Caenorhabditis elegans: one gene and its partner. The protein of the gene in region 1 purifies or fractionates together with the protein of each later gene. This does not show direct contact. Each region holds a gene or a part of one and is shown on either strand. Other genes may lie near its edges. The genes, in order: cid-1 and ego-1.

Region 1 (16,813 bases):
GTAGTATGGCATATTTTTCTGCGTGAAGCGAGGCGTCGTTCGTCGAGATGCCCATTCACCGAATTGGCATGAGAATACTCCACAGTCACTGCCATTTTGTTGACGAGGAATGTCCTAAACAAGATGATTATCGCGTGTTGAAGATCTTTTTGTGTGTGTAATTTCAGAAGTATTACTGGTTGTTTTAGAGAGCATAGATATCAAAAAAAGAGTGATTGAGCCAAACATCTGGACTTCTAAAAAAAAACTTTTTTTCAGAAATAAATTTAAAGTAAAAATCCTTTTTTTTATTTAATTTTTTTAAAATTCAATATACCGTCATCTGTTGAATTGTCCATCCAGAAAAGTTCATTGCTGTCTTTTTCTTATCCAATGATTCAGCTTCCAAGTAACCTCTGAAATATAAAATATTTATTGATATATTCTCTGTGAGTTTTTTAAATAAAAACCAAAAACACTCAAAAAACTAACCGCAATGCTGGCAAAACGGCTGTATTTCCATCATAAAGAGAGTCATAAAACTCAATCTTCTTTTCGCCCATATCGATAACAGCCATACACCAATGCATTCCAAGATGAACTGGCACCAAAACGATGTCGAATGCAAAGATATCGACTTTTCTTGTCCATCGTTTCACACTCGCGTATCCTTTTGAAACAATATTGGAATAAAAGAATGTGTTGAATGCATAGATCTTTGGATATTTCGAATCGCCATTGCTCCGATCACAAATCAATTGAAGATAGAAATTGATGATCTCATCATTCAGCCAATGCAATCCACTCAATGTTGCAAGATCTTTTTTACAGATCTGAATGCTGAATGCATCCACAAATTGTTCATTTGGATTCCCTCCGCTCCATGCTCTTTCTACAAGAGCATCAGCAGCATCAGGTAAAGCCATAAAATCATCAACTTTCTTCTTCTCCACCTTCGGACGAATAGCGATTCCTTGCAATTCAAGTCTCTTCCGAACATCTTCCAATCGATCACCTCTTGTTTGAGAGCGATGTCCTTCTCGTATCCGAGCCTCTTCTAGAAGTTTATCCTCCTTCTGCTTCGACAATTGATAAGAATTCTGATATCTCTGCGGTCCTCGATATGCGGAACCGATTCCAAGGCTATTAATTTGCGAGAGAATATCATTGAGTTTCCTGTATGAATCAGATTCCGACGAATTTGATCGGGCGTGTTGGCGGTAACTTAAATTTATATTATTGCTTGAATTGATGAAAAACTTAAATAAATACCTTGAAGAAGTGGACTCTTCGCTATCAATGATGATGGATGGTTCTCTTGATAAGAGTGAAGGGGTGTTGCTTCGGGATCCTCCCAATTCTGCGATTTTCTGAAGAAAAAAGATCAGAAAGTTTTAAATAACAGTAATATCCTGAACATACATTCTTCGCTCTGGCTAATATGTCAGTTGATGATGTTCTCTGCATTTTCTTCGGTTTTTTTTCAACAATTCCAGAAATCGCTTTAGCTTCGTATTGTCCACTTGCAACAACTCCTTGAAGAAGTCGATCGCGAGATGACAGGTGATTTTTTATCTGAAATAATTAAACCTTAAAAATAAATAATTATCTATAAAAACAGTGGACCGAAATTAATTCTAAATAACAAAATCGTCTAATGTATCCGTTCCAAAATCAATTTTAATGTTAAAAAATTGAATCTTGTAGGTTTTGCGGACCATTTGGGAAGAAAAATCTTCCAAAATGGTTTTTAAAAAAACCTATAAAGTTTAATAATAAGAAGTTTTTGGCATTTAGAATTAATTTCTGAAGCTTCAGTTTGATACACTGAAAATTGTAATTTCTCACATTAGTTTCTCTGCTTCATAAAGAAATAATTACCTTCTTTAAATCAATAATCGTGTTCATTTTCCGAACAGAAGTTGAGTGCTTAAATTGATGTCTAACAGGGACCCGTCTCAAAACCTCTGGCTTTTTAGCAGAATTCCGTCTCCAATAATCACGAACATTATTTGATGTGTAATTTGATAATGATGATAAGCTCGGAGTAATCGGACGACTAACACTGTCATCGGGTGTCGGTGAGATAAATTCTTTGCTCCTAGAGTCAGAAATAACTGATACATCGTCTGGTGTGTCTGGATTGTCGTTGAGAAAGATCAACTAAAGTTTGATAATTTATTATAATAGAATTATTCGAATACTAATACCTCATTCTGAAATCGTCTTGCTTCTTGCAATTGCTTATTTGGTGTCTTGACTACTTTCTCGAAAAGAACGTCTGGTTCCTCATCATCCTGTTGTACTTCAAATGACTTTTCCAAATTTTTTGGCGACTTTGGGGAAGATGATAAGGTGAGCACTAAATCTCCTTGAACTTCTTGTTTTTCTTCGTCATTCCGAATTTCAACGTTTTTTTGAACATGTTTCTCAATGATAACTTCATTTTCCTCTGATCCAGCATTGGCTCTCACAGGTGCATCTTCGTTCAGAAAAATCATATATTTCTTGTTCTGTAACAACTGTGGTCATGTTTAGTTAGGGGGGGGGGGGGGGGGGTTTATATACCGTATATTCTCTATTAGTGCTGCATCTCCAGTAGTACTGCAGTCTCTAATAGTGCTGCATTCAAAAAGGGTCCGAAAAATAGTGCTGCAGTCTCTATTAGTGCTGCACCCCATTTTCTATTGAAAGAGTCACTTGACAGTTTCGATATTTTTGGGTATTTTTTTGTATATTTTATGATTTTTTGATAATTTAGGAAAGTAATTGAATTATTGGGTCTTTTTTTTACAAAAGTTCGCAATTTTTATGAATTTCTGCTTAAAATATGAGGTTTTGTGATTAAAAACTAGTGATCTATAATTGAAAATAGCCGTTCGAAAATTAATGCTGCAGTCTCCAGTAGTACTGCAGTCTCTAATAGTGCTGCATTAAAAAAGGGCCTGGAAATTAGTGCTGCATGCAGCACTAATAGAGAATATACGGTATTTGCTGAACTTAACTCCGAAAGTTAATTTATTCTCAAAATATACCTCAGCAACTCTCCTCGTCGTTCCTTCCACTATAATTTCATCATCCTCTTGAACTTGAACTTCGCCCGAAACTTCAGTTTTCTCCTTTTCTCCCGAATTACTGCTTACGAACATTCCGAAGAAGGTATTGAAAAGCCCTGAAATGTTGAAGATCGCTATTTCAAATTTATACTTTTATGGATCAAGGAAAAGGATTCACTCACCACCCAATCCTTGAGATTTCGTTTTTCTGGTTCTTTTTGTTGGCGACTGCTCTTTTTCTTCGTTTGTAACAGCTTGATCGGTTAACCAATGTCGTTTTCTTGCTAAATATTTTAATTAATTTCAGCTTATTTTTCATTCACTTCTCCTACATTGAGAGTCTTTGTCTGATAAATCAGACCTACGTGACATTCCGTTTCTCTTTCAATCGAATATCGTCTATTTTTGATGTTCCAGATTCAAGTAGCTATCCTGAAATATAGTTTTTAGCTGCTTTAAAAGATTTTTGCTATAGTAAATACTATCACAAAGGGCAACATTTTAAGTTTTTCAGCCAAAATAAAGAAGGCAATTAACCTCTAGGCAGTACGTAATCATTCAATTATTGCATAAATTACTTTTAATAAAAGAATAGATGAATGGGATAGAAGCGGAGGAGATTGGCTGCAGATCATTTTTGAATGAAATGAATAAAATTTGGGGAATCTGGAGAAAAGTTGAACTGTTAAAAAGATAAATGTGAACAAAATAAAATCCAATAGATAAAAATAGAAAGAGATCTCACCACAGGAAGACAGCCAATCAACTCTTTTTTTTTTGTTGATTCACAGTGAAAAGGAGAATTTTTGGAATCGATAATATATGGTAACGAGAGATGGAGAAAGAATAATAGTTTGTCAGCTTTTCTATAGATGGGAATATTTTCAACTTGACTGAACAATCCGGAATACAAAAAAAACAAGGAAACGAAACGGGAAAAATGTGGTGAAATTTTGAATAACTTAGTAATAAATGGTAATAAAAACAATTAGAAAGAGAATACTCGGAGACTCTTATCCAATGAACACGTCACCAATGAACGAGCATTTTCTCCGAATCTAACTCCAGTGACTGGTCCAGAATGATCAGAAAGTGATACAACTTCACTCCAGCTCTTCACATGCAAAACTTGAACTTTTTGGCCACCAATTCCTAGGAATGTTCCAGTCATGTCGAAGGACAGGGAGTTGATCTGAAAAAATTATATTTTTTCATTAAACATTTGCTTAACAATTTCTTACCGGTTGTTTCTCTTCGTTAGCGAAAGTTTTCAGATTCTTCAATTTTCTAAGATCCCATAATTTGACCTCTCCATCCTCTGATCCCGTAGCCAAATAATATCCGTTTTCAGAAAACGCAATCGAACGAACGGCAGCAGTATGTCCCGGGAATGCAGCAGCCACGGTTTGATTCTTCAAATCCCAAATCTTCACAACGGCATCCGCAGCTCCAGTTCCAAAAATAAGACCATCAGGATGGAACTCGATGGAATGAACGGCAATTTGTGATCCTGGTTCAACTGAAACCTTGCAAAGCGATTTTCCGGAACGAATGTCGGAGAATGCCCAGTAAGAATCATCAGAAGCGGAGAGAATGTAATCACCGGATGCATTGAGGGAGATATCTGTAAAACATTGTTTGTTCAATAGAAGAATTACAGCTAGCGAATTTTTTTCAAATATCTCACCTGTAACGGGTGCCTGATGGACATCAATAATAGCCTTCGAAGACGAATCAGTTGCACTCCAGACTCTAATATGTGAATCAGCAGAAGCAGAGATTGCAGTAATATTATCCGGATGCAAAACAACTGCGTTGATCTTCTTGTTATGCCCCTTGAATGTTTGCATAACCTGTTCCTTTTCATAGTCATACAAGACAACGGTTTTATCAATTCCTCCGGTAAGTGACAAATTTCCCTTGATATCCAATGCAGTAATTCCAGGAGTTCCAGTCGAATGAATTCCAGTGTGAGATGCTGTCTGTTTCAGCTCGGCGAGCTCTTCTGTTTTGGCAAGTCCTTCAGGAAGATTTTTTCCTCGTTGTTTACGTTCAGCAGTCAGACTCTTTGATTTCTCTTCAAGTTTTGCCAGAATTGCCTCACTAAGACCTTGTTGATCTTCAGACTCGTCAATGCTGACATCATCGTCAACTTTCGCCGATGTGTGTGGTTTCAAAGTAGACAATGCTTCTCTAGCAGCGGTCAATTCTTTGGAGAGGCGGGAAATAACACGACAAGCGGCATCGTGTTGGTACAGAGAGTGAGAAAGTTCTTGACGAGCAATTTGGAGTTGTTGTCGGAGAGAGAAGCTGTTGAGCATTACTGTATCCCACTCGTCTTGAAGCATTTTTAGTAGAGATGGGATGGATGTTCCAGAGACATTGCGTGGTGCTGATCCAGTGCCGCCACTTTTCAATGAAACGAGCTAAAAAATGAATTTTAGAAATTATTATTTTGTTTTTTCAATGAATTATCATTTCGAAGTTTCACGTCAGTGAAGATAATTGCAAGGTTGACAAACCTGGTCTTCAGAAAGCTCTCCATGGCTGATCGGATCTGTTCCGTTTTCGGCAATGAATTTAACGATCAGCCGACGATCAAAGATGTGCCCTGAGACTTGAGAGACGACTGGGTCTTCGGTCAGTTCACCACTGATTCCGCACACGAAAGACATCTCCTGAAAGTAGCAAAATATACACGAAACCGCTTGATTGACGTGGGACATAAACGAAGAAAGTTTCAATGCGAATTTTGTAGGATAATTACATTTATCGAACGAGTGGTCAATAAATACGTACTCTGGCTAGTGACTAATCGAACGGCGCATTGGATCAAATGTTTTAAACTTGTCTTTAAAAGAAAATCTAGAATTTTAACCAGTTTTTCATGAAAAAATGCAAGTTTTCAAGTCAAAGGAATTCGAGACACCACGGTTTCAAGATCTGATGGGATCCCGGATCTACGTTTTCCGGATCTACCATTTCCGGATCTACGTTTTCCGGATCTACGTTTTCCGGATCTGGCACCGTGCCAACGCACAAAACGCTTTTCAACGCACGACTTTTTTCGAAATTTTCTTCTAGAAGAAACGCTTAAGAACACGCGACGCGTAACATCGCAGCGTCGTTGTCACTTTTTTCTTCGAAAAAATAGCGTTTTAAGAGTTGGCACGGTGCCAGATCCGGAAAACGTAGATCCGGAAAACGTAGATCCGGATATGGTAGATCCGGAAAACGGAGAATCCCACCAGATCTTGAAACCGTGGTGTCTCAGGAATTCCATGCAATGAGAATTCGAAAAACTGCAGTGGAGCGTACTTGCTGCAGCTTTTCCGGGCGGGGCCGAAGAAATGTCGGCCATGAGACTGGGGAATAAAAACGATTTGAAAAAATAATTTGGATTTGAATTTTCTTCCCAAAAAATGCAAATCGGGGAATATGAGCTCACTTTCATCGATGTTGCGGTGTTTGTGGTGTTTCTCGTGGCTTTGAATAAAATTGTTAAAAGGATGCTTGTTGCAAAAATCAATGAGCCAGCGAAATATGAGGTAATTTGCAAATAAATCTTGGGATGTGAATTTTTGTTTCTCAGATCGAACAGCTCGAAGAGCGTGATATGACAATGGAAGAAATCGAAAGCATGCGCCGCGAGGAGAACAGGTGCCTGGTCATTGTGGAAGACAAAGTAATAAAATACTTTTCGGATTATCAAAAAAATAAGTTTATTTCAGATTTACGACCTCTCTGGCTCACAAGATCTCTATGACAACAACCGCGATCTTTTCGAGAGTAGTGAAGGATGTGGACCTGAATGGGCACCGATTTGTGCTAGGAAATATCCATTCGTCGGACACGTTTTGAAGAATTAATTAAAATCTCAGCGGGAGTTTGATCAAATTTCGGGTTGTTTAAGTTGTGTCAGTTACATCGTGTTTTTTTGTTGTTAAATAAAACGGTTATTTTTTTTCATACATTGCTTTTTACATCTCTTATTATTATAGGCTGAAACAACCTTCATTTTACTTTTGCCCGTTTTTTAGATGACTTTGATTCAAAAAACCACGTTTACAGATCAAGTATGGCTTTGATGTACCCATTCCACGTAGCACAACCTCCACTCAACTGGTCCGAGCACTTGTGGGTTTCCGAAGTCTCACCAGCAAAAGAGTCATTCATCACCACGATTTGTGAGCACCGTCAAGCTCAATGGGTACGTTTTTATTTCAAAATCACACTTTTCTGAAAAAGTACATTGTTGTTCATTCTAAATTTATTGCAGGATAATCAAGATCTTCTGCGTCACTTGCAAGACAGTGTGGCTATTCTGACTCGTGAAGATCAACGTCATGTGAACGCTGTCCATGCAGCAGCAAATATGCCTGCAAATCCTTGAATTCCCTATTCTACACCATATTTATCTGTAAATAAAACTCGATTTGGCATACCATTTTTTTTAATTATGGAATTCATTTCCGAGGTACTGACCTCGTTATTACCTAATTTAATATTTTGTTCTCAAATTATTCCAGATTTTATTCAATCGCTTCTTTTCAGTTTCATTGGGAAAGACGAACCGAATAATAGGTATTAATATTGTACTGTAATTATTAAAAAGAGTTGTGAGATGACCGATGAGCAAAGGTCTGGAAGTAGGCGGAGAGGAGGAGCCCTTGGAGGTGGAAGGGGAGGAAATAGCCAGAATAGTGGTGAGTTCATGACTAATCATTTTTAAAAATTCATACAATGAAGTATATTAGGCCCTTCGTATTGCTTAAAGATTGAGGTTTTACTGTTCTTAGTATTCAAAAATACCGTTGATTCACTCTCTACTATAACTTTTTCCTTATCAATCCTGAAGTTATTGAACAGTTTTAGCAGAAACGCCACTTTTATTTATTTATCAACTTTCTTATCAAACAAAGTGAAAACTTTATAGCAATTTTCGAACAGAGTGTTCTTCATTTTTTCTTAATTTTCATATTGAACTAACATTGAACTTACAGGCCGGAAAAGATCATCAAACAGTCCAGCTGATTCGGCTTCCTCCTCCCAAAAGACGAGCAGAAATCCATCGCAAAATCGTCCTCCAATGAACATCGTTCCTCAAAAAGTCACAATTCTGAAACGAAATCAGGATTCTCAGCCAACATCTCCAATAAATCGGAATGCGCCACCAGGACCCTTGGTTGCCGCTGTACAACCATTGATGGCTGTTGAATTGGGCGATTCGGGAGCTTCATTGAAAGGATGGAATTCAAATCCTACTACTCCAGAGAAAACAACGATTAATGTTGCTGGACGACAAGCAGAAGCCAACAAAAAACAGACGCAAGAGTATTATTTCTCCAAAAATGCCGGGTCAGCCGTGTCGGCTCAAACATTTCAAGAGACTGTCCAGTATCCAATGAGCTCATTTCCGTTGGAAAAGAATGTACCTATTCAAATTGATAACAATTTTACGGTTAGTTGTGAATAAAAAATTAAAATCATTCGCTGTATTCCAATAGAACAAAATTCGTACTTTAAACTTTAAAATAGCAAAAAAATGTATGAAATTAATTTTTAAAAGTCAAGTTTTTAGCTGTTGATTACTCCAACTACGAGCAAGTGCAATGGACTATTCATCAAAGTAAAATTACAACATGGAGATGACAATATCACAACTGGAGCTCTGTTGAAATTGGATGCAGATGAAAAGACGATCAGAAAATCTTGCAGGGAAACTATTGAGAATCTCTTGAAAGGTTTGAACTGAGTTTTCCGATTTCATTTCACTGTTTCTCAACAGTTTCAGCAAAGTCTTCATCCGACAGATTTCCATTCTCAAAGTGTTCTGAGGGATTTCTGACTTCTTGTTTGATCAAGAAACTTGTCGATCGTCTAGAAGCGTTCCCAGAGGCCATATACTATTGCGAAAAGTGCGATTATCATATTAATACAATCGGACACGCAAAAGCACACTTAGAGAGCAGTACACATTTTGATGATGTTAAGCGACAGGAACAACGGGAGCATCTTTTGAAAATTATTCCACCTCCGACTGAAGCACATTTAGAGAGTGTTGAAAAAGTTTTGGAAGGAACATTGAAATCGTATCAACAGGTTAGATTATCTTGAAACTGGATTGGAAAAAAACGAAATTAACGGAGGATAAATTGTGATTTTTCTCTAAAAAGCTGAAATTCAGAAATAAAATTTCGTTTTTTCTATCCGGTTTCGATCATTTTTCTCTCAACTAACCCTTCTCTCGTCAAGTATTTTCAGGTTCGTCAAAATGGAATCGAGATCGGTGAAACAATCATCTATTACTTGAGTACTACAGTATTCCCATCGATTGGATTGCAAGATGTGATACTTCGACCATTTGGATCTGTAACATATGACGTCACACTTCCGGATAGTGATTACAATGTGGCATATACTATGTCAATTCCTGAAGGAACTCCAATATTTGCATTACTTGAACAAGTTCGAAAGAAGATTGCCGATGATGGACATCCAGCTGATCATTCCATGGAAATGGGAACACCGTCAACAATTATATTTACATTCAAAGGAGTTCGAGTTAAACTTTGTTGGATGTCATGTTTCAATCATCGTATACAACTTCATTTTTCTGAATTGATGAAGACCTATGTAAATTTACGAGAGGAAGTTGCTCAATTTCTTCAACTTATTCGTCTTTGGGCAACGAAAGCTGGCCTTGACTCCAAAAATAAGCCTAGAATCGGACTTCCTCGATATGGATTTGATATAATGGCCATTCATTTTCTTCAGCAGATCGGATGCCTTCCAGTACTTCATGAACTTTTTGAAGCAGGTCCAGAAACTGAGAAAATTGAAGAAATGAGTGCTGAAAAGACAGCAAAACTTCAATCGGAAGAAGCTGGGCAACGTAGAATGAGATTGATGTCTCGATATGAGAAGAATACTGAAAAGATTGGTACGAAGTTCGACTTGAAGAAATCTTGGAATCTAGCTGAGCTCTTCATTGGCTTCTTTCGGTATTATGTTGAACGACATCGGGACGTAGTCATCCAAATTACACAGCTTATTCCAATGAGTCGAGATGTGAGCCGTTGGAATAAAAAGATTCTTCATGTTGTTGATCCATTCCGTGGTGACAATGTTCTTTCAATACCAAAGGTTTCTACTTGGCAACCATTCTTTTTCAATTGTCTCCTAACATCATTTGTATCGTTTTCGATTCCAAGAACCAAGAATGGACCATTAATTGAAGTTTCGTTTGTTCATAATGTAAGTTTGGTTTCTTTTTTGTTTGATGTTTTTATATCTATTATTCCAGAAAACTATCAAACCTGGAAAAAAGTTCAAGGATACTCCAAAAAAGGCAACGGTGGAGGCACCCATTCCATTGACTCAAATAATGGAAGAACATTATCAAGAACCTGTATATGAGATTGTAAATGATAAAGATCATCTAAAATATATGAAAGAGCTCAAGGAACGTCTGATGATTGATGGAATCTTAGTGAATGAACGAAAACCAATTGATTATCACACTGATGATCATCGAGAATGTGTTTATGGTAGAAATTCACTTTTGCGATTCAAGAGAGTTCTCAAACCAGGACTAAATGGAAAAATGGCAGCATCAATGGATGGATTGAGTTTTGTGACGAAAAAAGGAAAGAAATTCATCAATCGGTGGAAGAAGGCGAACGTCATCATTTTATCGGAAGATTCTTCTGAAATAGACGAAAAGACGAAAGCAGCTGATAGTAATGTGTCCGAAATTGCAGAAAAATTGGAGGAAACCCTCAAGATTTCTTCTCAAAAGAATATTGACGTTGCAGTAACATCCATGCCTGTTTCCACGGTAATTTCAGATTTTGAAATTTTAATTAATCACTGACAAGTAACTTTTGATTTTTTTAAACTAATTTTTACTCAATTTTTAGGAAATCAAGCCGGAACCCATCACGAAATTATCAAATGAAGCACCAGTGAAGATAAAAAATGTTGCTCAACCTCAATGTGATCTCATAGAAGCACCACAAGAATCTCTAATGAATGAATCTATGATGGAATCCAGTTTCGATGAAACTGAATCTCCAATGAAAACTCCAATTGTTCAGAAACCTGTGAAACAAAATGCGACATTTGGGAAATCTACGATATCCACAGTAATCCCCGATAAGCAATTCTGCAGTGAAGAGTTTTTCATTAAATTGAATTCGAATTTGAAGGATATTGTATCCAAATCGAAAAGTCTAAAACCATCAGATTTTCATTATGAATTCTCAACTGATCTTTTCTGTGGAGACTTTGAAATGGAAATGAAATGTACACATTGTGATGGTAGTCATTGTGTTGAAAACTGCCCGATGATGGAAATTCCACCGATTAAAAAATATCAAGCAAGAACTCCCGAAGATTTGAAAGATATTGATGATATGATTGATAAATATTATCATGAGAATATTCTTGATGAACGACGGCTCAAAATGTTGGATCACAAGATTGATGAACTTCAATCATTTTTAAGGAAAAACTATCGTGAAGATGTCACTCTTACAACATTTGGAAGTGTTATGACAGGATTAAGTGTCAATTGTTCAGATATTGATATTTGTTTGAGATTCGGAGATGGAGATGTTCCGCCAAAGGATTTGACAGCAAAAGAAGTTATTCAGAAAACTGAATCCGTTCTCAGAAAATGTCATTTGGTAAAGAGAGTTCAAGCAATTGTCACTGCAAAAGTGCCAATTGTCAAGTTTCAAGTGAAACTTTCCAATGGAGCAATTATTGATGTCGAGTAAGTTTAGAAGATTTAATTTTTCAAAATGAACAGAATTTTTAAAATATAAAATCTCGAAAAAATTTTGACTCGTAGTTATAGTGTTTAGTTGAAAAAGAATCATAGTCAATAACTGTAAAATCCCAAAAAAAAAACAATGTACACTACTCCAAGGGCACGTGGTGTCAGGCTGTCCCATTTTGGTTTGATCTACGTAGATCTACAAAAAATGCGGGAGAAGAGACGCAGAGTTCTCAACTGGTTTCGCATGGTTAAGAACCTGCTGACGTCACATTTTTTTGGGGAAAAAATTGCCGCATTTTTTGTAGGTCAAACCGTAATGGGACAGCCTGACACCACGTGCAAGGGGAGTACACGAGCTGCGTAAATCGACACGAGACCATCTCAGAGGTTTACGATTTTCACATATATAAGAGTTTAGAAAAAAATTGATTTTTTAACTACTAGGAATATAGAAAATAAGTGGATGAAAGATAATTGTCATTATCTGAAATTATTCTAAATTTCAGTATCTCCTACTACAATATATTGGCAATCTACAACACAGCTCTTCTGAAAGAATATTCATTGTGGACGCCTGACAAACGTTTTGCTAAATTGGCTCTCTTTGTGAAGACTGTAGCTAGTTTTTCTTATTCTTTTGAAAATTTCATCCTCTAATTTCCAGTGGGCCAAAAATTGTGAAATCGGAGATGCATCACGTGGATCATTGAGCTCATATTGTCACGTCATCATGCTCATTTCTTATCTTCAAAACTGTGATCCACCGGTTCTTCCACGCCTTCAAGAAGATTTTCGAAGTGATAATCGGGAAAGACGACTCGTTGACAACTGGGATACGTCATTTGCTCAAGTTGAGACCAGTTTGCTACAACGTTGGCCTAAAAACAAAGAATCGTGTGCTCAGCTGCTCATTGGATACTTTGACTATTATTCGCGTTTTGATTTCCGGAATTTTGTTGTTCAATGTCGACGGGAAATGATATTGTCGAAAATGGAAAAAGAGTGGCCGAGACCTCTTTGTGTAGAGGATCCATTCGATTTGAGCCATAATCTGAGCAGCGGTGTTAACAAGAAAAGTATGTTGCCAATTGATTTATATCAGATGTTCAGATGTTCAGAATCAGATGATGTATATTAGTTTAAAAAAATGTTCAATCTTCCTGTTTGAATTTCCTCCAAAATGAGAACTGCACGACAAATCAGCGCCTTCGAACTCCACCCATTCCGTCTGATTGGTTCAAAAGTGGGCGGAGCGAGTCGCTAATTAATCGTAGTTCTCATTTTTAAGGAAGTTCAAAAGTAATCTTATAAAATTATTAAGTCTTGTTTTTAAAGTTAGATTTTTATTCCTGACTTTTAGACATTTTTGAGCATTTCAAAATGAAACTGATATTTTTGTTTTTTCAGTGTTCGTATTCATTATGAAAGTGTTCATCAACTCACGAGCAGTCTTCATGTCTGAGAAACCACCGATGAATCGAGATCACACTTTCCTATCATCATATCAACACCAGTTACTTCGAAAATGCAATCAAGGATCCGCTCCAACTGATCGTCAATGTCATCAATGTCATAGGATAGGACATTTTGTAGAATCGTGTCCGCAAAGAGCCCTGGCGTATGTTAAAGCAGAAGTAGAATTTTATTAATGAACAATTTTCAGAAAAGAAGCCCGGAAGCGATTTGGATCAAACTCGACAAACTCATCATACCGATCAAATGATAGTGGAAGAGGATTCAAAAATGGAGAGGAAGGTGGCGATCGTCTGACTTATCACAAAAGGGTATTAATTAATATTTTTTTAAGTTTAACACTCTTGTTGGCTTTTATTCAGCAAGTTTCTACGTTCATAACATAAAAATATTTTCAGACATACTATCATCGCTCGTACAACAAATAAATTCTCTCCACCCATTCACTTCACACAACAAACTGGATTTTCACCCCCACGAAAACTATTCTGAATGTGTATACATACGTATATATCCAGAAGAATATTCTAGTTCTATTTCCCCATTCCCCCACTATAATCATCTTTATAATTTTTTTCTTGCTTTCATCGTTCCCCTAGTTAATCATTTATCATGTGCCTTCCAGCGTTCTTCCCTACTCCCAAAATGTTTTAGGATCCGTGTTTTTTTTTGTTTTTCTTTTTTCAAATTCTCTGAATTATAATTTAAAAAGAATCTTCCTAAATCTAGGAATCACATTTGAGTTGTTGTACTTTTTCTGTTCGTTTTCTGTTGTGTTATTTGTGATCCAAACAATTCTGCACCATTAACGGGTCCATTTTGGACACTATCACCAACAGTCTTCCCACCCAATTTTTTTTTCATAATGAAACTTTCCCCATGATTTTTTTGTCTCAAAAGTCCCTAAAAATCCAGTTGCCAACGTCTCTCCACATCCCACTCTTTCTTTTTTTTTTCACTTTCGCATAGTAAAGCAACAAGACATTAGGAAACCGTGAGAGGGTCTAGAAAGTGTACGAAACAATCGGGAGCCCGGGCACCCGGGGATGAATGTGTTTACTCGGCAAAATTGTGTGAGAGAAGCAACCGATCAGTTTTCTTCTGATGTCTACGTCTCGAATGCTCTCGATTTTTCGCCCATTCAGTCTCTAATCACTTTTCTTGGATCATGTTCGTGCTGTACAAGTTGGCATGTTTCGTTATCAACTGTTTGATTCCCTGATTACAAAAAAATTCACCATTGGCTGCCAAGGACAACTAAATTCTGTTTTTATCTGGGAAAAACTTCACTAAATTCTAATTCAACACTGTTCAGAAAATTGTTAATTCGTAAAAATTTACCACCATTTTACGATTTTTTAAATTGAATAATACGTTTATGAACGTGTATATCTTAAACTCTACAGATAAGCCTGAATTTACTATAAATATTAAAACTTTTATAAAACTTCTAGCAGCCAGTTTCAAGTTTTTGCGAACAGACGATGAATTAATTTTTTAATGCATTTGAGGAAAAGTATCTCATTATTTTTTATGCAATATTTCAAAATGTTGGCCAATAATTTGAAAATTAAATTAAATTATCGTTTCCAGCTTTGATCAAGCGAGTTTAAGCTCAATTAAATGTTAATTTCGAGGAAGTTATTATCTTTTTTGAATTTAGCGGCGGAGAAATTCGCGATGGAGCGCATTTCCACCTTCTACTTTTTAATGAATTTTTTACCGGTTTTTTCTATTTTGATCATCGCGCGAATGTTTTTCTCGTTTTTGTATTGAAAATTGTTTGACTTCTCAAACGAAATAATACTTTTCGTTGTAATTTCCGTTGAATTCGAAAGAAACTGCTGAACACTGCAATGGGTTACGTCATTTCCCGCAATGAGGTGCGTTTCCTCTCAGTGCGCAAACTGCAAGAGAGACCAGACAACAAATAGATCAAAACGTGCCGTCCGGACTTGTAGACGATCTTGACCAAAATGCGCCAAATTCTTTTTTCTGTCAAAGTAAACCAATACACATGTGTTTTTCTTCTCCTGTGTCTCCTGCTCGTTCGTTGCGTTTTGATCTGTTCGTTTTTTACAGTTTTCTCTTATTTTTCAACTTCGTTTTGTTCATTTCCACAACTCATTTTCTTCTCTTCTTCTTTTGGATCGGACTGTTCATGTTCGTTTTCTGGTTTTCTCTCGTTTCCTCGACCACCTCTCAGCGCAGAATGGTCTCTCATTGGGCCTGTCGACAGTCTCTTTTTCTCTACGCCCTCTTGATCTGACACACTCTCTTGCCGGTCTTCTCATATTTTCCGCCCGAATTTCCCTCATTTTCACATCCTAAAAATGCCGAGTTTCGATTGAATTTGATTCAGATAGATCTCTTTTCAAGCAAAAAAATTCATCGACGTTTTGACATTGCTTTTTTCGTTAACAAAAACCAAAACTTTTCTGATTTTATCGCCGCCGATCAGCCGTTTTCTTTCAAGGCGGCAGGTGCATTTCTGGTTTGATTAAAAATATGAGGAAATCAATGTTATTCATGTTTTCTCATATTCTTCTCTCTTGAAATCACTAAAAACATTAAATGACCCTCTATTATTGACTTTTCAAACCCTTTCTGCTCTGAAAGAGACTGTTTGCTCTTCGAATCGATTTTATTTTCGTGATTTTCATCGCAGCCCTATTTTTTAGTCATGAATTTTTGAATTTTGGCCTAAAATTTTGTGAAAAAGTTTAGTCTCGGAATATTTCCCATCTTTTGAGAGAACGGTATTAGATTTTGAGTGCAAAGAGTTTTTCTGTTTTTTATAACACTGACACTAGCGAAAACGATGCTCTTTAATCCTTGATCGCTACTTTGCGGCACTCAAATATTTTATCAATCAAGTCGATATTTTCCACTAAATTAAAAAGTTCACTCTAGATGGACTCGCCAAAAAATTTAATGGACACGCAAAATATTAGTATCCAAGGGCTCATTCTCAGCTTTTGATTGGCCGATTCAGATTGACTCAAACCTAAAATTCTTTCCTATTCCCTTTTATAAAGTTGATAAGAATTCAAAAACATTCACACTTCTATGTCGTTCTCCGTGTTTTTCGTTTTTCTCCATCAGAACACCACTCATAACTATTATTTTTGATGTGTTCCAAACGTTCAGCCTGCAGAGACGTTTTCTCCTATTTTTGCGCCGAAATTGCATTGTTTTGTGTGCAAAGTAGGTGTCATTTGGTGCGCAGGTGTGTGTAGAACTCGAGAAAGAGGTTAATTGTCAGTGTGTACCACGTCATTTTATTCTAGGATAATATATGTAAATCATGAGCTATATTTGGTTTTTTTCTTGAATTGAGCACGTTGGCGTGTTACACTTCTAAAGTTTTGTGGTTCGTATACGGTTTCGAATTTCACCTTCTTCCTGTTTTCTCTTTTTATCTGATAAGACACAGCGAGTTGTTTGTTGTTTATTGGTTGGCTGGTTCCGCAGTCAATACTAACTGTGTGTTCTTTTTCACAATCTCTCTCGTTAGGCG
Region 2 (16,745 bases), on another chromosome or scaffold:
ACTCCAATTTCCGTCGGCTGCGACAAGCACAAGTTAGCAAAATGTGGCCCATAAAAAGTTTTTTAGAATATTTCAAAAGGTCTTATTATGAAATTTGATCGTTCAGGTCAGTTTTCGTCTATTTAAAAAACTCGGAACTGTTACTCATCATTAAAATGGAAATTAGGAAATTCTCTCCATCATTGGTTAATTATGAATCATGCTATAATTTCGGCCGGGCGTGAATTGCGCCCCCGTGAAATATCCACAATCCAACTCAAAAAGCACTTCCACTATTCGTTGCCATTGTATAATGCCAAATCTTCGCCGAGAAGAATTCTCGGCCAATTTTTTAAAAGTTCCAATTTTTTCCAAAATTGCTATTAGTATCAGTAATGATCAATGAACCCCTTATTGCGTACTGCGTACTGCAGAATAACAAAAAAAGCATTCAAAAACCAATTGCCCGATTTCCGGTGCGTACGTCTCTCCACCAAAATCCGCTGTGCTCTCATCCAATCTCCCAGTCATTCTCTTCTTCACATGCTGTCCACATGTTCATTCTTTTTTCTTTTTGCGCGCCCAGGCTTCATCCTCCTCCTCCTCATTCTTTTTTCCTTTTTCTCTGCGCAAACAGGCTCCGCCCATTTTTCTTCCGTGTTCAAGTGTCGCAATTCATTGAAAGCAATGAATCAGTCAACGAACCATCCAGTGAAATGGAGCATATTTCCCTCTAAACACCATTTTTTTACTTTTTTTTATTTGTTATCAGTTTAAGCATTATTTGACGTCAAGTGTCCCTTAAAGTTTATGCGAGGTCTCTTGAACTTTATGATAAGAGTGATGTGCTTGAAAAGGGTAATGCCCATTTTTGTGGTAAACTTGAACTTTAGAAATCTAGAGCCAAAACATTTAGATCCGCCAAGGGATTTTAGCCGTAGGCAGGCACATCTTTAGGCGTGTGCGCCTGCCTTTTGCCTCTTTTCTGCAACTTTCAGTAAACTTTTTGTAGGCACTGTGCATTTGCAAGTCGCCTTAAAAGCAAAAAAAGCAACAGTTATTGAGACTATAGAACCAGGATTTGTGGACATACCGTGCATTCTCTATTAGTGCTGCACCTCATTGCTCAACACGATGGTATTTAGGAAAAAAAACTTTGAGTTTTTGCAGGTTGACAATTTTTGCCAGATCTAAAAATAACCTTTCGCATTTTGCTAAAAGGTGCATTTACTGCAAAAATCAACTCTCCTTTTTAATTCCGCGAAAAAGTGTGTTATCAGCTGAATTGAATCCAATAACCCACCCTTTCTTATCAAAATAAAGACAGTACCGTAACCTTTGGGTACAGTATCATCTGTCATTTTCCACACCTTTCATCATCATCATCATCACACTCTCGACGCCTACAATCTCTTGTTTCAACCCATGAAAACCAGATTTATCAACGCCTTCTTTTTTTGGAGTGACTGATGCAGTGGTTATTGTTGTGGAACTTCTTCTTTTCATTCTGAACACGCCATCTGTGTTCCCATTGATTAAATGTTGTATCAACGTGTCAATCAATTACTTCTTCAAATCAACACGATCTTTTTGTCTTTTTTGTTTCTTATCCATTCTCTTTTGAGATCAGTTCAAACCACCAAGTTCTTTTTGGTTCTTCCTCCTCAATGTGTACTCAACTCTGGCCAGAACTTTCGAACTTTGAGAAATAGTAGGTAAATCGCGGAGGGTTCTGAGATATAGAGACATTGACTGGCCAAACCACAAGGAACGAGCATTTGTCGGGTGATTTCAAAATATTTTAAACTTTGAATTTCAAACTACGAATAGTACAAACTCAACCCAATTCTTATTTATCTATAGCTTTTATATTCCAGTTATGTCTTAATTCTTTTAATTAAACAGTAGATACTCGGATATGCATTAATGCTTTAAGGTTCTCAAAAATTCCATATTTTTTGGCAAATTTGGCGACTTGTAAAAACTTGGTCTGAAAATTTTTAATATTCTTTTAAAAAATTTTTTTTAGTTTTTTAACCCAATTTCAGTATATTTTGACAAACTATGAATAGAATCTTGACGTTCAGTCGACCATTTCTAATTTCCTGAGTGCGTCTGAATCCATAAATCAGACTCGATGAATCATGAGACATCTCCCTCAAATTCATAATTATATTCTAAACTACAATCACAAGCTTCCGACTATACGATTGTTTTTCTTTGTCTCGGTTTTCTGTTTATAATATTCCAATCAGCTGTTTTGTAGTTGTTCATGAAATTTGAGAAGATGGAAAACAATGTGAAATCAGGAAAAAACAATGGAAATATTCCTCAGAATTTTTTAAACAAGCCTCCGCATATAGTAATTTTGTAAATTTATATATTCGGACTGGTCTTGCCGCGAAAATATTTATCACTCATCCTAATGAGTTCGTGCACCTTTGAGTACAAATATATGAAAATTGCGAAAGTACCAAAACTTTTTCTGAAAAACTCCATTGCCATCTTCTAATTTAGTTATGATCTCTGACGTCTCTCACTCTCTCCAACATTTTCCCATGTTGAATTGAGGTCGACTCACAGTGACATGTGACTGTCTTTCTTTTCATGTGCGTGCGAATTTCGACCATTGCGAAAAAAACTATTCAATTTCTTTCCCATCGCACGTTTTTTTCTAGTTTGGATCAGTTCTCCTATTTCAGAAGTGGGCGGTTGGAACATCTGATTGTGAGAATTATAAACAATTTAACGAAAAAAAAAAAATCATGTGGTAGACTTATTCAAAAGCTTATATTCATTTTGAAGCTAGCAAGATCAAGAGTTTATTGAACAGGAAGATAAGAATATAACGTCAACAAACTATTATTTTTAGTACCCATTTCGGCACGTTTACCATCAAAACAAAAGTGTAAAAAGTGAACTATGTCTCCTGACTCAGAAGCAGTCAGCGCGTGGGTACATGTAGATATGTAGACTAAATGTAGACTAGATGTGCGGTACAGTTTTATGCAATTTTAAAAACTCAAATTTCAATTTTTCGAATTGAGTTGTCAAAGTTCATGAATTCCAATTTATATAGGACTATAGAAAATATTTTATTTCGCGTTTGATTAGTTGAACTGAAATGAACTGACTAGTCTTAATAATTTTTCTATCATCTAAATTCCCATGACACATTTCGATGAATGAATTCTACTAGTTCAATGTCCTTTGTGACTTCCATTTAATTTCAGTTAATTGAACACATGCTTAGATGACGTCCCAACTCTCATGATAGTCGTAACTGGATACCCTTTGCCCCCATTGTTCAATCCCGCCTTTCTTCAAGCTCCACCGAATACACATATCACTGATCAGATGAAAGAACAACTGCTCAGCGGAGAGCTCGTGTGAGCTCTCTCTCTGACTCTCAGACACACTACAGTCGTTGGAACCACGCCTCTTCCCTTGATTTTCTAATCTTCTAATCATTTTTGGTTGTGCTATGTATTCTGTGTTTATTCTATTTTGTCCCAAAACTGGAACTTTCGAAAGTCGTTGATAGTTTTTTCTTGCCTTCTCTCTCAATCGACACGTACAGACAATCACGTGTGTACAAGAGAGAGGCGGGGTCACACAAAAGCACTGAACGACCGAAAGTCAATCAATGTCTATATATTCCTGGTGGGAGTGGTCATCAAAACCATCATAATATTTTGTATTTTATCACTTTTTGGCTCCTCCTCTATGGGAGGACATGCATCCTTTTTGATTCTTGAACAAGTATTTTTCAGTCTTTCATTCTCTTTCTCTCATTCTCTCTGAACTTTATCTTTTTTAATCATTCACTTCCGATAAAACTTTTCTCTCAATCTTCAACAGATGGTTCTTCGATTCGTGAAGATGGGGCCAGGATAGAATCAAAGCAACTAATCAAGGTCATAGAGTATAGAGTCGCAGAGTGTGAGAGGAGAGCCAACAGAGTGAAAATACATGTGAGCGTCACATGCTTCTTCTCAGAAGAATATGTCAGATACATTTTGCAGTGTAGAGGAAGAAGGCGAATACAAATCTCTCCGCGATGATCTTTGTTTTTTTTTCTTTTTTTTCCCCTTCTTTGGGTGCTTCTCCTTTTTGGTTTCTCTTTCTTGATTTTTTATGTCAAATCTTTGGTCAAAGCTCGAAGTGATTTCCTAGGCACACTTTAGGAAAGTAGGTATAGGCCTCATCAGGTAAACTTTTTACCGTACATACTTTCACAACTTTGCAAATTTTGAGTTCAAAATGTTTCCCCAAAAAGGTAAAAACGAAATATAAATATCGTTCCTTCTCCATTATCAATTTTAACCACATGTTTTCTCTTCGTTCTCCTTCCATTTCATTTCATCCGAAACACTTAATTCTCCCAAAGTTCACACTCTTATCACAATCTTCTTATCTCAATACATCTCTCAACATCATTCCCTGTTGTCACGTGCCCCCTCGTTTCAATTTCTTTTTTCTCATTGATAACCTCTTGGTACTCGAATCAAATTTAATATGATTACAGATACACTACAAAATGACACTGTCTTTCCGTGTAAATCCAGAATATGCGGCCATGTCAGAAATCGTTCCGGGATTATTTATCTGTGGAGTTTCTGCGTTGAGCAAAGATGAAATGAAGAAACATAAGATCACACATATCATAAATGCAACAACAGAAGTTCCAAATCTCAGAAGTCTTGGAGACATTCAACGTACAAAACTTTGGCTTGAAGATACTCCACAGACATATATCTATCCACATCTTGAACTTCAATCTGATCAGATTCAAGCACTCATTGCTGATGGGGGAAAAGTTCTCGTGCACTGTGTCGCCGGAGTGTCACGTTCTGCTTCCATCTGTTTGGCTTTCTTGCTCAAATATCGGTATGTCATCTTGTTTTAGTTAGAACCAAAAATAGTCCAGAAACTCAGTGCTTTCCCCTATTATAAATTCTATTGGACATGTGCTTTCATGTGATATCATAAGTATCCAATAAATGGGAAGAGAGCACGTGCCGGAAAACAAAAACTAATGAATCTGATGTTTTCCCATGAACTAAAATAGAATGCACATATTGATTTTTGATCTATTTCCAGTTGCCGAAATCTTCGTGAAGCTTATCATTTGATGAAATCAAAGCGTTCAATGGTTCGTCCAAATCTTGGTTTCTGGCGCCAACTTATTGCTTATGAACAGGTATGTAACTGAAAGTTAAAGACATAAACACTCAAAATCTAGTTTGATCATTCTTATTTTCTTATCATTAGGTCCAAAGTTTATAATTTGTATCTTACAGAACGTCAAAGAAAATGCTGGTTCTGTTCGATTGGTGAGAGATGAAGCTCAACCAGAACAATTACTTCCCGATGTTTATCTTAATATTGCAATTCCAGCTAGACCAGCTGTAAGTTTACAAATCATATTTCAAACTACAGAAATTGACCCTTTTAATTTTCAGAGCCCGGAGCAAGATCCAAATATGATCCCAGATGAGCCACGAGAACGCCGAAATTCTGGATTCAAATCTAAATTCCGTCCAGTGCTTGAACCTGTGATGGAAATGGCTGAAGCTGTTTGCTGATTATCATTATTTTCCATATTTCATATCATATTTTCTTGTTTTTTTTCTGTTTTCCTCCCTTTCCACCTCCCACCATGCACACCAATTAGGCGCAATTACCACTTTTTTTCCCTGAAACGGGTCAGTGCTTTAGTTGTTCAATTTCAATTTCTTTTCAAATGTTATTCTATTCCTCTCTCAATTATATCAGAAATACGGGTCGAAATCTGTAGTTTCCGGTGCCATGTAAATAAATTTTGAGATTTATTAATTTTATCTTCATGTTGCGAATTTCCATTCAAACACAAGTTCTCGTAAAATAATCATTAGAAAAATTGGAGATGCAGATTATTTAAAAACTATTCGGACTTTGGACTAATAAAAATACAAAAAAATCGAATTCCTCGTCCCGACTAAAAATTAACTTGTGAAAGTTTTTTCTCCCATTTTTGCCAAAAAAACCAAAGCCCAAAAGACAACAGCCCTTGTCTCACCGCGACAACGAAATTTTTGAACTATAACGCGTGCCACTTTTTTCTTATTTGTTTCTCGCTCATAGCTAAAAACTGCGAAGAAGAAGGTTAATAATTCGAAATTCGATTTCAAAATGCCGCTGCCTTCAAAGGAGCTTAAATCGTTGTGAACTACAAGTCTCGCAACGAACAGGGCAGATACGATAGCGCGCCAGAAACGTTTTTCGAATTTGAATCAATTTTCATCCCAAATGCCCAAATATTTCTGTTTTCTCATTTATTTTATATGATTCATGATGCTTTAGTCTAGTGAAACGTAATTTTAAAAAATCGAATATTTTTAACGCTGCAATTCTAACCAGAAAATCTCTTTTTTTATCTAAAAATTTAAAATCCGTGTAACCATGGTCTAAAATGTTGAAATTGTAATATTTTTCTTACAGACCATCTACCTCAAAACGATTTTAGCCTAAGATATATCAAAAATTATCCCGAATCCTCGCAACAATGGGGGACGAAGGTTATCGTGGATGGATTAAACTCGAAATTCCCTGTTCTCTGCCAGAGCGGCAAATGGGACCCATAGTTAAATGCCATGTAGCAAAATTAGAGCCAGTAAGTTAGACAATGTGTTCATCAATCATTTTTTTTGTTTTAGGCATTGAATGAATACAACATCAAGGTTTTGACAAAAGGACAGGTTCAGGTTGTCGAAGAGCAAGATTGTGAGCCGTTTTATGAAACAAATTATGAAGTTGCGACCAGCAGGTTTTCACATGATCTAATTGCGGCGATCCAGACATATTTAAAAGATTTATCAACGGTTTGTTGCTGTCGAAACTTTCTATCGTATTCGTACTTTTCCAGGATCATCTTATGCCATTCCAACGTGGAAATCTCGTTCTTCACAGTTCCGATTTTTGGTCTTCCGAATTGACATGTCATTTGGTTGATATTCCGCTTGCCGCTGTTTTCTTTGGAAATATTCAAGGCGGAACATTCATTAATCATTGGGAAGTGTCTTTCTGGGATGACGTTAGACGTCGGAAGTCGGCAAGAACGAGGAATACTGAACCAACACAAGCCGATAAAATTGGAATGAACCAAATCAAAGTGGAGTTCGAATTCGATAAAATTGATTTTATGACAGTTCACTTCAAGCACTTTGAAAATGATTTTGAGGTTGCTGATAAAGATGCGAAGAGGACCAAACAAACAGTTACCATGTATTACCAGATTACAGTATGTTTTCAATAGAATTGGGAATAAAAATCATAACAAAAACTTTCAGGTTAGGAGAACTTCTATTCGTCGGATTATTGTTGATCCTGTCGTTCAAGATTGTAATGGTTCGGATCGGATTCGTGTACATTTCGAACTTAATTGTCCTGTTCTCATTAGAAGAGCCTACCGAACGGCAAAACAGGAATCGGTGAGCACACCCAAGCCGTAAACCATGAAATTTCGCGATTATGAAATATCGAAATAAGATGTTAATTACAATTTTCAGGAAAATCGGCACTCCGTCCCACATTATCGAAGATATTTGGTGATCAATCGTGGACGAAGCGCGAATCAGTATCCAACAGCTAAAGCAATAACGGATAGTCCTGTGTTCACAATCGAGTTTGATCAATCTGTTGGGGTAATAATTCAATATGCATCAAGTTTTTACGTGTAATTATTCCAGCTCAATGAAATCTACCGCTTACTTTCAAGACTTCGCATCCGTACTGGAGTTTCCATTGAATTCGCGGACATTCCTTCGATTGACTGTCTCATTTGGAGAGAGAATCCTTATAACCGTTGGACATTCCTAAATAATCAACATCTGTCGCCCACTCATTTCTCTGCGCCTATTTACAGAGATTTCATCACGACCGCATTTCCAAAGAAACATGAAGTATGTGGCTCTCGAGAAGTTGACACCAACAGGGAAAGAAAATTCGCCATCACTTATCTCCTGGAATGTCTGATTTCGAGAGGAGCAGTGGTTAAGGATCAAATTTTGCTTGATGAAGGAATATGGCACCGATTCCTTGAAGTGATTCTCCACTACTACACGAAAGATGACAAACTTTGTGAGGCCGGACTTGAGGATTTGGTTCACATGATCGATGGTAGAAAACGAATTGGATCATTGATCAAGTGTTTCGATAGAATTTGTCAAACGAGACAGAGAAACAGTCTGGTTAATGGATTAACAACTGAAGAAATGAGAGAGGGATATCAAAGAGTTCGAAAGATTATTTTCACACCGACTCGTGTTATCTATGTGGCACCGGAGACGTTGATGGGAAATCGAGTACTGCGACGATACGACCATGATGGAACAAGAGTTCTAAGAATCACTTTCCGAGATGATGATAATCAGAAAATGCGAACGAATAAAACTTCGACTATGCTTGAAAAAACCGTCAATCAATATCTCAAAAATGGAATTACTGTTGCTGGTCGTAATTTCGGCTATTTAGGAAGCTCGAACTCACAAATGAGAGATAACGGTGCTTACTTCATGGAAAAATATTCATCATCACAGTGCAGAGAATACGAACGGATATATCAAATCAAACCACCAATCACTTTCAATCCAAAGATCCAAGCTGCTCGAAAGAATTTGGGACGATTCGAGACTATTGACAACATTCCAAAAATGATGGCTCGTCTTGGACAGTGTTTTACACAAAGCAGATTGTCAGGAGTGAATTTGGAAAGATGCACGTATATGACAACGTACGATTTGACTGGAGGAAAAAATTTGAAAGGAGATGAATACACGTTTTCTGATGGAGTTGGAATGATGAGTTATCGATTTGCTCAAATGGTCTCAGAAGTTATGGATTTTGGAAAAGGTGTTCCCAGCTGCTTTCAGGTACCATAATCTTTTCTTTGGTGTTTCTTAATAGTTTTTTTCAGTTTCGTTTCCGTGGAATGAAAGGAGTCATCTCAATCGAACCTCTTCTTGACAATCTTCGCCAGTGGTCAATTTCGTATAATATCAGCAAACCGAGCGATGACAGTTCGTGGAGCTTGAACTGTATGTTTCGCCCAAGTCAAATTAAATTTATTTCAAAGAGACACCCACGTGATCAAGTGGAAATCGTCAAGTACTCATCGCCAGTTCCAGTGGCATTAAACAAGCCATTCATCAATATTCTCGATCAAGTTTCGGAAATGCAATCCTTGGAATGTCATCGAAGAGTAACAAATCGAATCGAAGAGTTACTGGACAGACAAATGCTTTCTTTTGCCCAACAAATGGTGGATGAAACTTTTTGCAGAAATCGACTGAAGGTTTGTTATTAAATTACTGATAGTATCCTCATTACTGTTATTATTCAGGAGCTACCTCGTCGCGTAGATATTGACTACTTGAGAACAACATGGGGATTCACATTGTCTAGCGAACCATTTTTCCGATCTCTTATCAAAGCATCGATCAAGTTCTCAATCAGTAAGTTTAAACGAATGAAGCTTTTTAAACAAACCATATTTGTTACAGCCAGACAACTCCGAAAAGAACAAATTCCCATTCCGTGTGATCTCGGACGGTCAATGCTTGGAGTCGTTGACGAGACTGGGCGTCTTCAATATGGTCAAATCTTCGTACAGTATACCAAAAATCTGGCCCTGAAACTTCCACCCAAAAACGCTGCGCGACAAGTTCTTACAGGAACGGTTCTCTTGACCAAAAATCCATGCATTGTTGCCGGAGATGTTCGGATTTTCGAGGCTGTCGATATTCCAGAACTTCATCACATGTGTGATGTAGTAGTATTCCCACAACATGGACCGAGGCCTCATCCTGATGAAATGGCTGGATCTGATTTGGATGGAGATGAATATTCTATCATTTGGGATCAACAGTTGCTTCTGGACAAAAATGAAGATCCATATGATTTCACTTCAGAGAAACAGAAGGCGAGCTTTAAAGAAGATGAAATCGTGAGTTTCGTTTTAACGAGATTACATAAATATATTTAATTCTAGTCGCAATAAATAATATTTTCAGGATGACTTGATGCGTGAGTTCTATGTCAAGTACTTGAAATTGGATTCCGTTGGACAAATCTCGAATAGTCATCTTCACAATTCTGACCAATATGGATTAAACGCAAGAGTTTGCATGGATTTGGCGAAGAAAAATTGTCAAGCTGTGGACTTCACTAAGTCTGGACAACCACCTGATGAACTTGAAAGGAAATGGAGAAAAGATGAAGAAACTGGCGAAATGATTCCACCTGAAAGAGCTGAAAGAGTACCTGATTATCACATGGGAAATGACCATACTCCAATGTATGTCAGTCCAAGATTGTGTGGAAAACTGTTTCGCGAGTTCAAAGCAATTGATGATGTACTCAAAATTTCGGAAGAACGAGACGAGCAAGTGGAGATTTCTATAGATGAAACTATCAAAATTGATGGATATACGGAATATATGGCTAGTGCAAAAAACGATTTAGCAAGATATAATGCTCAGTTGAGAGTGAGTTTTAGGAGAAATAGTTGAAAGATGACCATGTTTTTTCAGTCAATGATGGAAAACTATGGAATCAAAACAGAAGGTGAAGTCTTCTCAGGATGCATTGTTGACATGCGAAACAGAATTTCGGATAAGGATCAAGATGATATGTCATTCTTCAACACAAACCAGATGATCGAGACGAAATTGACAAATTTGTTCAAGAAATACCGAGAGATATTTTTTGAAGTAAAGCTTTCCTAAGCCAGTTACATATGTGTACATGCGTAATTTCAGGAATTCGAAGGCGGCTGGGAAGGTAACACAGAAGCATTCTCTCGTTACGGACGTGATAGTAATATTCTTCAACGACAATGTCGTGCTCCGACAGTGCAGATGATGAAAAAGGCCGTAGCTTGGTACAGAGCTTGCTATGGTTAGTTGGATAACTTGAAATAAAAATAAATACTATTTTAATTTCAGAGGAAGCTCGAATAACTCGAGAAAACAAGAAATTGTCGTTCGCTTGGCTCGCATATGACGTCATCGCAAAAGTGAAACAAGACAAAAGTCTTACAAGTGACGAAGTTAAGATGGGTGGAGCAAATCCATTGTACACAATGCTTGACGACCACAGATCTCAGTATCTTGTCGATAACTCGAGAAAATTCGAAGCTTTTCGACAATTTTCAACACCTAAAACTAGTGGAGAACAAGTGAAACGAGCTCATAGAATCATCAAAATGTACACAGAAACTTATCCAGGATTGGATGCAGTCTTATTCATGTTAGACGAATGGGCACGGATTTCAAATCTATTTGAAAATCAATCACTTCGAGAATATCATTTATCACTGCTATTTATCCTGTTTGCTACAAGGCAATTTTCTTCCGTTGATGGAAATGCTGCCAAGTTCTTCAATAAGGTCGATGAGAAAAGTTACAAGCAGAGTAAAACAATTGGAGACTTTGAGCCCAGTTTATATATTGAGGAAAAAGGAAAAAGTCAGATGGTGAGAAGAATATTTGTGTTATTTTTTTTATAATAATGACTGTTTTCAGATGGTGAAGTTTCTCGAATTTTTGGCCTCGCGAAAGTTCCGAAAAATGGCGAATCTCTCATTCTGTGCTCTTGATTTCTCATCAATTTTCATGCGAGGAGAATGGCAAATTTTCCATTTGGCCGCACTCAAAACCTACTACAACGTGTTATTCAATTTACGATTCGAAGAACTTCCTGTGTCAACTGATCCAACAACTACAGTTCGTTCAATAATTCGAGAAAACGAACCGTTCGTGATTGAATTACCAGCCAATTGTGATCGTTCATTGGTTCATCGCAAGCTGGTAGAGCATACTGGTGTAAAAGAGATATTCATGCGAAACATGGAGAAATCAGTTCGCTCTTCGGATGATGTGCAAAAAATCAATAGTGAGTTAACAAAATCGAATGGTAAACAGATTTAATTTTCAAATTATTATAGTGCGTCTTCTGGTTTCTACACGTGGAACTCTCGAGTCAATGTACAAGTTGCGTCAACTGGTTGCTGTAAAAGTTCCCATCAAAACGTACGTAACGGGACAAGATGTGTCTACACAGATGGCTCGATTGTGCTATGAAAAGATTGTCAGAGGACACATCAACATCTAGAATGTTTCTCTTATTCGTTTTTAGCAGTGTTTTCAGAGATTTTAAATGTTTAATATGGTTTTCATTTTAAATTTTATTTTTCTGTTTTTTTTTTGCATGTTTTAATTGGCATGCTTATTTCTGTTTCTTTTTCTCATTATATTTTCCTGTTGTTTCTTTTGCTGATTGATTGAAATGGATAGGTTTCTCCTTCTTTTCATCGTTTTCAGCGTTTCGGTTATCTGTTTCAATGAATTGTCTGTTTTATTACGAATCCGATATTTGTATTTTATTTGTTATATGCGTTTTTTCGTACATGATTTTCCTATTGGATAGAATATAGCCAGATTTCTTGAAAAATTGAAATGCTGTCGATTTTGTTTGAATTTTGGACCAAACTATCGAACTTTTTTCCTTCTCGACTGAAATCAACATTTTTGAAATGCAGTTGTTTTTGATCAGAAAAATTTTAAAACATTTTAAATATACAACTTTTTAAAGGTGCTCAATTTTCCGAGATGAAATTAAATTTCTTTATTATTAGAAAATAGTTTTAAATGAGTTTCCGTAAATAAAATTACGGAATAATAATCACGATACTTGCTCACTGTTGCATTGTCACCACAGTGTCTTTTTCAGCTGTCTGCGTCTCCGACGGGCAGCGTCTTTTTCAGTGAACCGATTTTTGCATTTCAGCGGGTTGTTAACTTTCAAAAAATGTTTTTGTAAATTTCAAAGTGAAGGTTAATGAGAACCTAATTTATAGTTATTTTTAGTTGTATAACAGTAAAAATTTAAATATCCAATTGATCGATGGCAAATTTAAAAAATCTTTATTTTTGTTTGTCTTCCATAAAACCTTGTTTTTCGTGCGTTGGCCATTAAAATTTATCTGTATAAAATTTTTCAGACTCCTCGTCATGTCGGAACGAAGTCATGGATTCATTAAATTTGAATTTCCGGAATTCGATAACTCGCTTCAAGTCATCGAAGGAAGTATCGATACAATGTTACTGACATTTACTTCAGTGCGTCATGGTTTTGAGAATTTTAATTCATTTTTTGGACATTTTTCGATTAAAAAAATGACGCTTGTTTTAATAATTATTATGATATTTCTAGGTTCTTCGTAAATACGAAATCGAAATCAAATCCCGTCAAGAAACTCAAATTGTTGAAGAACAGGACTGCGATTGCTTCTTTGAAATAAACTTTGAAGTTGAGAGCGAACAGTTTGATCACACAATTATAGATGCTATGCACGATTATTTATCAGATTTGGTGAGTACTTGAATTCATATTGGACGATTTCGAATTAATTTTATTTTCAGAATGTGTACGTTCCGTATCAGCGGCCTAACATTGTCCTTCATGGTTCCGATTTTTGGTTGAGAACTCTCGATTGTCACACAGAGATTCCACTTGCTGCGATTTATTTTGGAAATATACAAGGAGGCACATATTTCAATCATTGGCAGGTTTCATTTTCACGCGAAAACATATCGTCAAGAGATATGTTGCATAAGATACACGCCGAATTTGAATTCGATAAAACTGATATGATAACAGTACAATTTCAATGTTTCGAGGAGAAGAAACAGAAGTTTGAGGATTCGAGGAAACAAAAAGTTCGAGTGAACTATCAATTAACAGTAAGTGTTTAGCTGTAGCTATCAAATCCAATACTGGGAGAATTTCTTAAAATTTAATTAAATTCAAAAATTCAGATTCGAAGGGATTCAATTCGTCGAATTATTGTCGATCCACGAGTTGAAGGATGCAACACATGTGTTCATTTTGAAGTTAATTGTCCCCCACTCATCAGGAAAGGATATATTGATAATGATAAGGTAATTTAATATTGATCACAGATTTTTATAACAATTCTAATTGTTTAGTCATCGTTTCATAAACCCTTCTATGAGCGTCAGAAACGGTTCGATTGTGATTGGAGAAATGGAAATGTTAATCATGGTAATCCACAAGATGCTGCCATCGCAGATAGTCCTTTCTTCACAATTGAGTTCCATAAAGAAATATCAGTGAGCTATTTTCTACTGTTTTATGATAGATTTTGATGATTAAGCATCGTTTTTTATTATTATTATTCTCTAATTCAGACAAAAGAAATGTATCGTGTGTTGTCTCGTCTGAGGTCTCGAACCAAAGTTCTGATTGAATTTGCGAATCTTCCGAGCATTGATGTTCCGATGGGCAGTCACTATCCATACAACCGGTGGAATTTGAAGAAATCGCCGACCGACTCAAATGCGCCCATTTTTAGAGAGTTTCTGAAAGAGGTGAGTTAGTCTTTAAAAAAACAAAGAATTGCCTCAATAATCTGAGTATCAATTTTTGCAGATATTCCCACCGAAATATGAAATAGTAGATGATAAATTGATTGATGTTAATGAGGAACGGAAGTTTTCTATCACATATTTGATTGAATGTCTGTTGTCACGGGGAGCTATTGTGAAAGATCAACTACTACTGAATGAGCAACATTGGAAAAATTTCCTGGAAATTATCATTTGGTACTACAGGAATGATAATCAACTGTGTGAAGCTGCCTTGGAAGATCTCGTTCATTTAATTGATGGTAGAAAGCGAATCGGATCAATTTTGAAGGTTGTGTTTTTTGCATATTTTTTGATAATTTTTTTAAAAATTTTTCAGTGCCTAGATAAAATTTGCCAAAAACGTGAGGTTATGAAACTGGTTAATGGTTTAACAGAAAAGGAGAGCATAGAAGGATATCAACGAGTTCGAAAAGTTATCTTCACACCTACGAGAGTCATCTACATTGCACCAGAGACGATCATGGGAAATCGAGTTCTACGGAAATTCGATAAAGATGGCACCCGGGTGCTTAGAGTAACATTTCGAGATGATAATAATAAGAAAATGAGATCAAATGTTACGGGTAAACTTCTCGACAGGACGGCGAACAAGTATTTGGAGCACGGAGTTCGAATTGCAAATCGTGAATATGGTTTCTTGGGATGCTCAAATTCACAAATGAGAGACAATGGAGCATATTTCATGATGAGATTCACAGACAAGCAGCTTGATCGCTTCTACAAATGTAATCCGACAGCATCGAATATAAACTTCAAGCCGAAAATCGACGAAGTTCGATTTCAATTAGGAAGATTCTCGGAAATTGAAAATGTTCCTAAGTTGATGGCGAGATTGGGTCAATGCTTCACTCAGAGCAGGGTATGTTTTTAATTTTTATTCAGTTTCATGGATTTTTTAGTGATAACTTTCCATCATAATACAAGTATGAATTTCAGCTAACCGGTGTCGGACTTGGACGAGATGATTACTGTAGCACGTACGATTTGACTGGTGGACGAGCGACAAACGGAAGCGAGTATACATTTTCTGACGGAGTTGGAATGATGAGCTATCAATTTGCACAGGAAGTATCCCAAGCGATGCAATTTGGAAAAGCTGTTCCTAGCTGCTTCCAGGTAAATTAATTTCGTGTGAACTTAGGTAACTATAGTTTTTGCAGATTCGATTCCGCGGAAATAAAGGAGTCATCGCTATTGAACCCTTTCTGGATGAAATTCGTAAATGGGCACTTGTGAACGGTGTTACTTCGATGAAAATGGCGAAATGTTTGTTCCGTCCAAGTCAAATTAAATTCCAAGCTAAGGCTATTTCGGGAGACCAAATCGAAATGGTAAAGTTCTCGTCAGCGGTATTGGTTGCTCTCAATAAACCATTCATCAATATTCTTGATCAAGTTTCCGAAATGCAATCGTTGGATTGTCATAAAAGAATTACGAGCAGAATTGAGGAATTGATGGATCGTCAGATCTTGTCATTTGCCAAACAGATGAATGAGGAGACCTTTTGTAGAAACAAATTAAAGGTTTGTCTGAAACATGAAATAATGAAACTTTTTATTTGGAACTCTTTCAGGAGTTTCCACGTCGTATTGATATTGATAACTTGAGAACAATGTGGGGATTTACATTGTCTAGTGAGCCATTCTTCCGTTCCCTAATCAAGGCATCCATCAAGTTCTCAATCAGTGAGTTTTCCGAATTGTTTTCAATTTCTCAATTTTATTATTTTCAGCGAAACAGCTTTGCAAAGAGCAAATTCAAATTCCCAGTGAACTTGGTCGATCTATGCTCGGAGTAGTTGATGAAACTGGACGTTTACAATACGGACAAATCTTCGTTCAATACACGAAAAATTACAAGAAAAAACTTCCACCGCGAGATTCCAACAATAAAGTTCATGGAAGTGAGATTGTCACAGGAACCGTTTTGCTCACTAAAAACCCTTGTATTGTCCCCGGAGATGTTCGGATTTTCGAGGCTGTCGATATTCCAGAACTTCATCACATGTGTGATGTAGTAGTATTCCCACAACATGGACCGAGGCCTCATCCTGATGAAATGGCTGGATCCGATTTGGATGGAGATGAATATTCTGTTATTTGGGATCAGGAATTACTTCTTGAAAGAAATGAAGAACCTTTCGATTTTGCTGTTGAAAAGATTAAAGTACCATATGATAGAGAGAAGCTTGTTAGTTTTTTTTTGTTCATTTTTTTTTTAAACTTTGGTGTAATATCAAATTTAGGACGTCTTGATGCGTGAGTTTTATGTCAC

The links.
Region 2: the proteins of cid-1 (region 1) and ego-1 purify together in Caenorhabditis elegans (affinity purification with western blotting, with the first as the bait; one study listed by BioGRID). This does not show direct contact.

The regions. Positions count from the first base shown.
Region 1 is NC_003281.10:5,166,333-5,183,145, forward strand, and holds cid-1 (4Fe-4S ferredoxin-type domain-containing protein), read left to right. Parts: upstream 1-7,589; 5' UTR 7,590-7,659; coding exon 7,660-7,741; intron 7,742-8,038; coding exon 8,039-8,496; intron 8,497-8,616; coding exon 8,617-8,779; intron 8,780-8,829; coding exon 8,830-9,137; intron 9,138-9,299; coding exon 9,300-10,292; intron 10,293-10,341; coding exon 10,342-10,875; intron 10,876-10,957; coding exon 10,958-11,814; intron 11,815-12,326; coding exon 12,327-12,435; intron 12,436-12,484; coding exon 12,485-12,896; intron 12,897-13,227; coding exon 13,228-13,438; intron 13,439-13,483; coding exon 13,484-13,604; intron 13,605-13,691; coding exon 13,692-13,721; 3' UTR 13,722-14,175; downstream 14,176-16,813. Other genes in the region: ulp-1 (Sentrin-specific protease), read right to left, coding at 1-114, 317-395, 472-1,203, 1,252-1,349, 1,402-1,554, 1,861-2,142, 2,190-2,492, 3,015-3,151 and 2 more; prp-19 (Pre-mRNA-processing factor 19), read right to left, coding at 4,024-4,227, 4,277-4,659, 4,723-5,461, 5,558-5,710; K10D2.5 (uncharacterized protein), read left to right, coding at 6,458-6,583, 6,628-6,720, 6,767-6,904; Anaphase-promoting complex subunit emb-1, read left to right, coding at 7,114-7,245, 7,315-7,428.
Region 2 is NC_003279.8:7,646,054-7,662,798, reverse strand, and holds ego-1 (RNA-directed RNA polymerase), read left to right. Parts: upstream 1-6,460; 5' UTR 6,461-6,526; coding exon 6,527-6,634; intron 6,635-6,677; coding exon 6,678-6,842; intron 6,843-6,886; coding exon 6,887-7,261; intron 7,262-7,310; coding exon 7,311-7,451; intron 7,452-7,529; coding exon 7,530-7,664; intron 7,665-7,709; coding exon 7,710-8,891; intron 8,892-8,935; coding exon 8,936-9,313; intron 9,314-9,361; coding exon 9,362-9,473; intron 9,474-9,521; coding exon 9,522-9,964; intron 9,965-10,031; coding exon 10,032-10,505; intron 10,506-10,550; coding exon 10,551-10,730; intron 10,731-10,778; coding exon 10,779-10,917; intron 10,918-10,964; coding exon 10,965-11,494; intron 11,495-11,543; coding exon 11,544-11,913; intron 11,914-11,965; coding exon 11,966-12,132; 3' UTR 12,133-12,458; downstream 12,459-16,745. Other genes in the region: F26A3.4 (Protein-tyrosine-phosphatase), read left to right, coding at 4,520-4,869, 5,083-5,182, 5,283-5,390, 5,445-5,567; rrf-1 (RNA-directed RNA polymerase), read left to right, coding at 13,032-13,139, 13,234-13,392, 13,443-13,763, 13,839-13,961, 14,010-14,153, 14,232-14,411, 14,473-14,739, 14,788-15,330 and 5 more.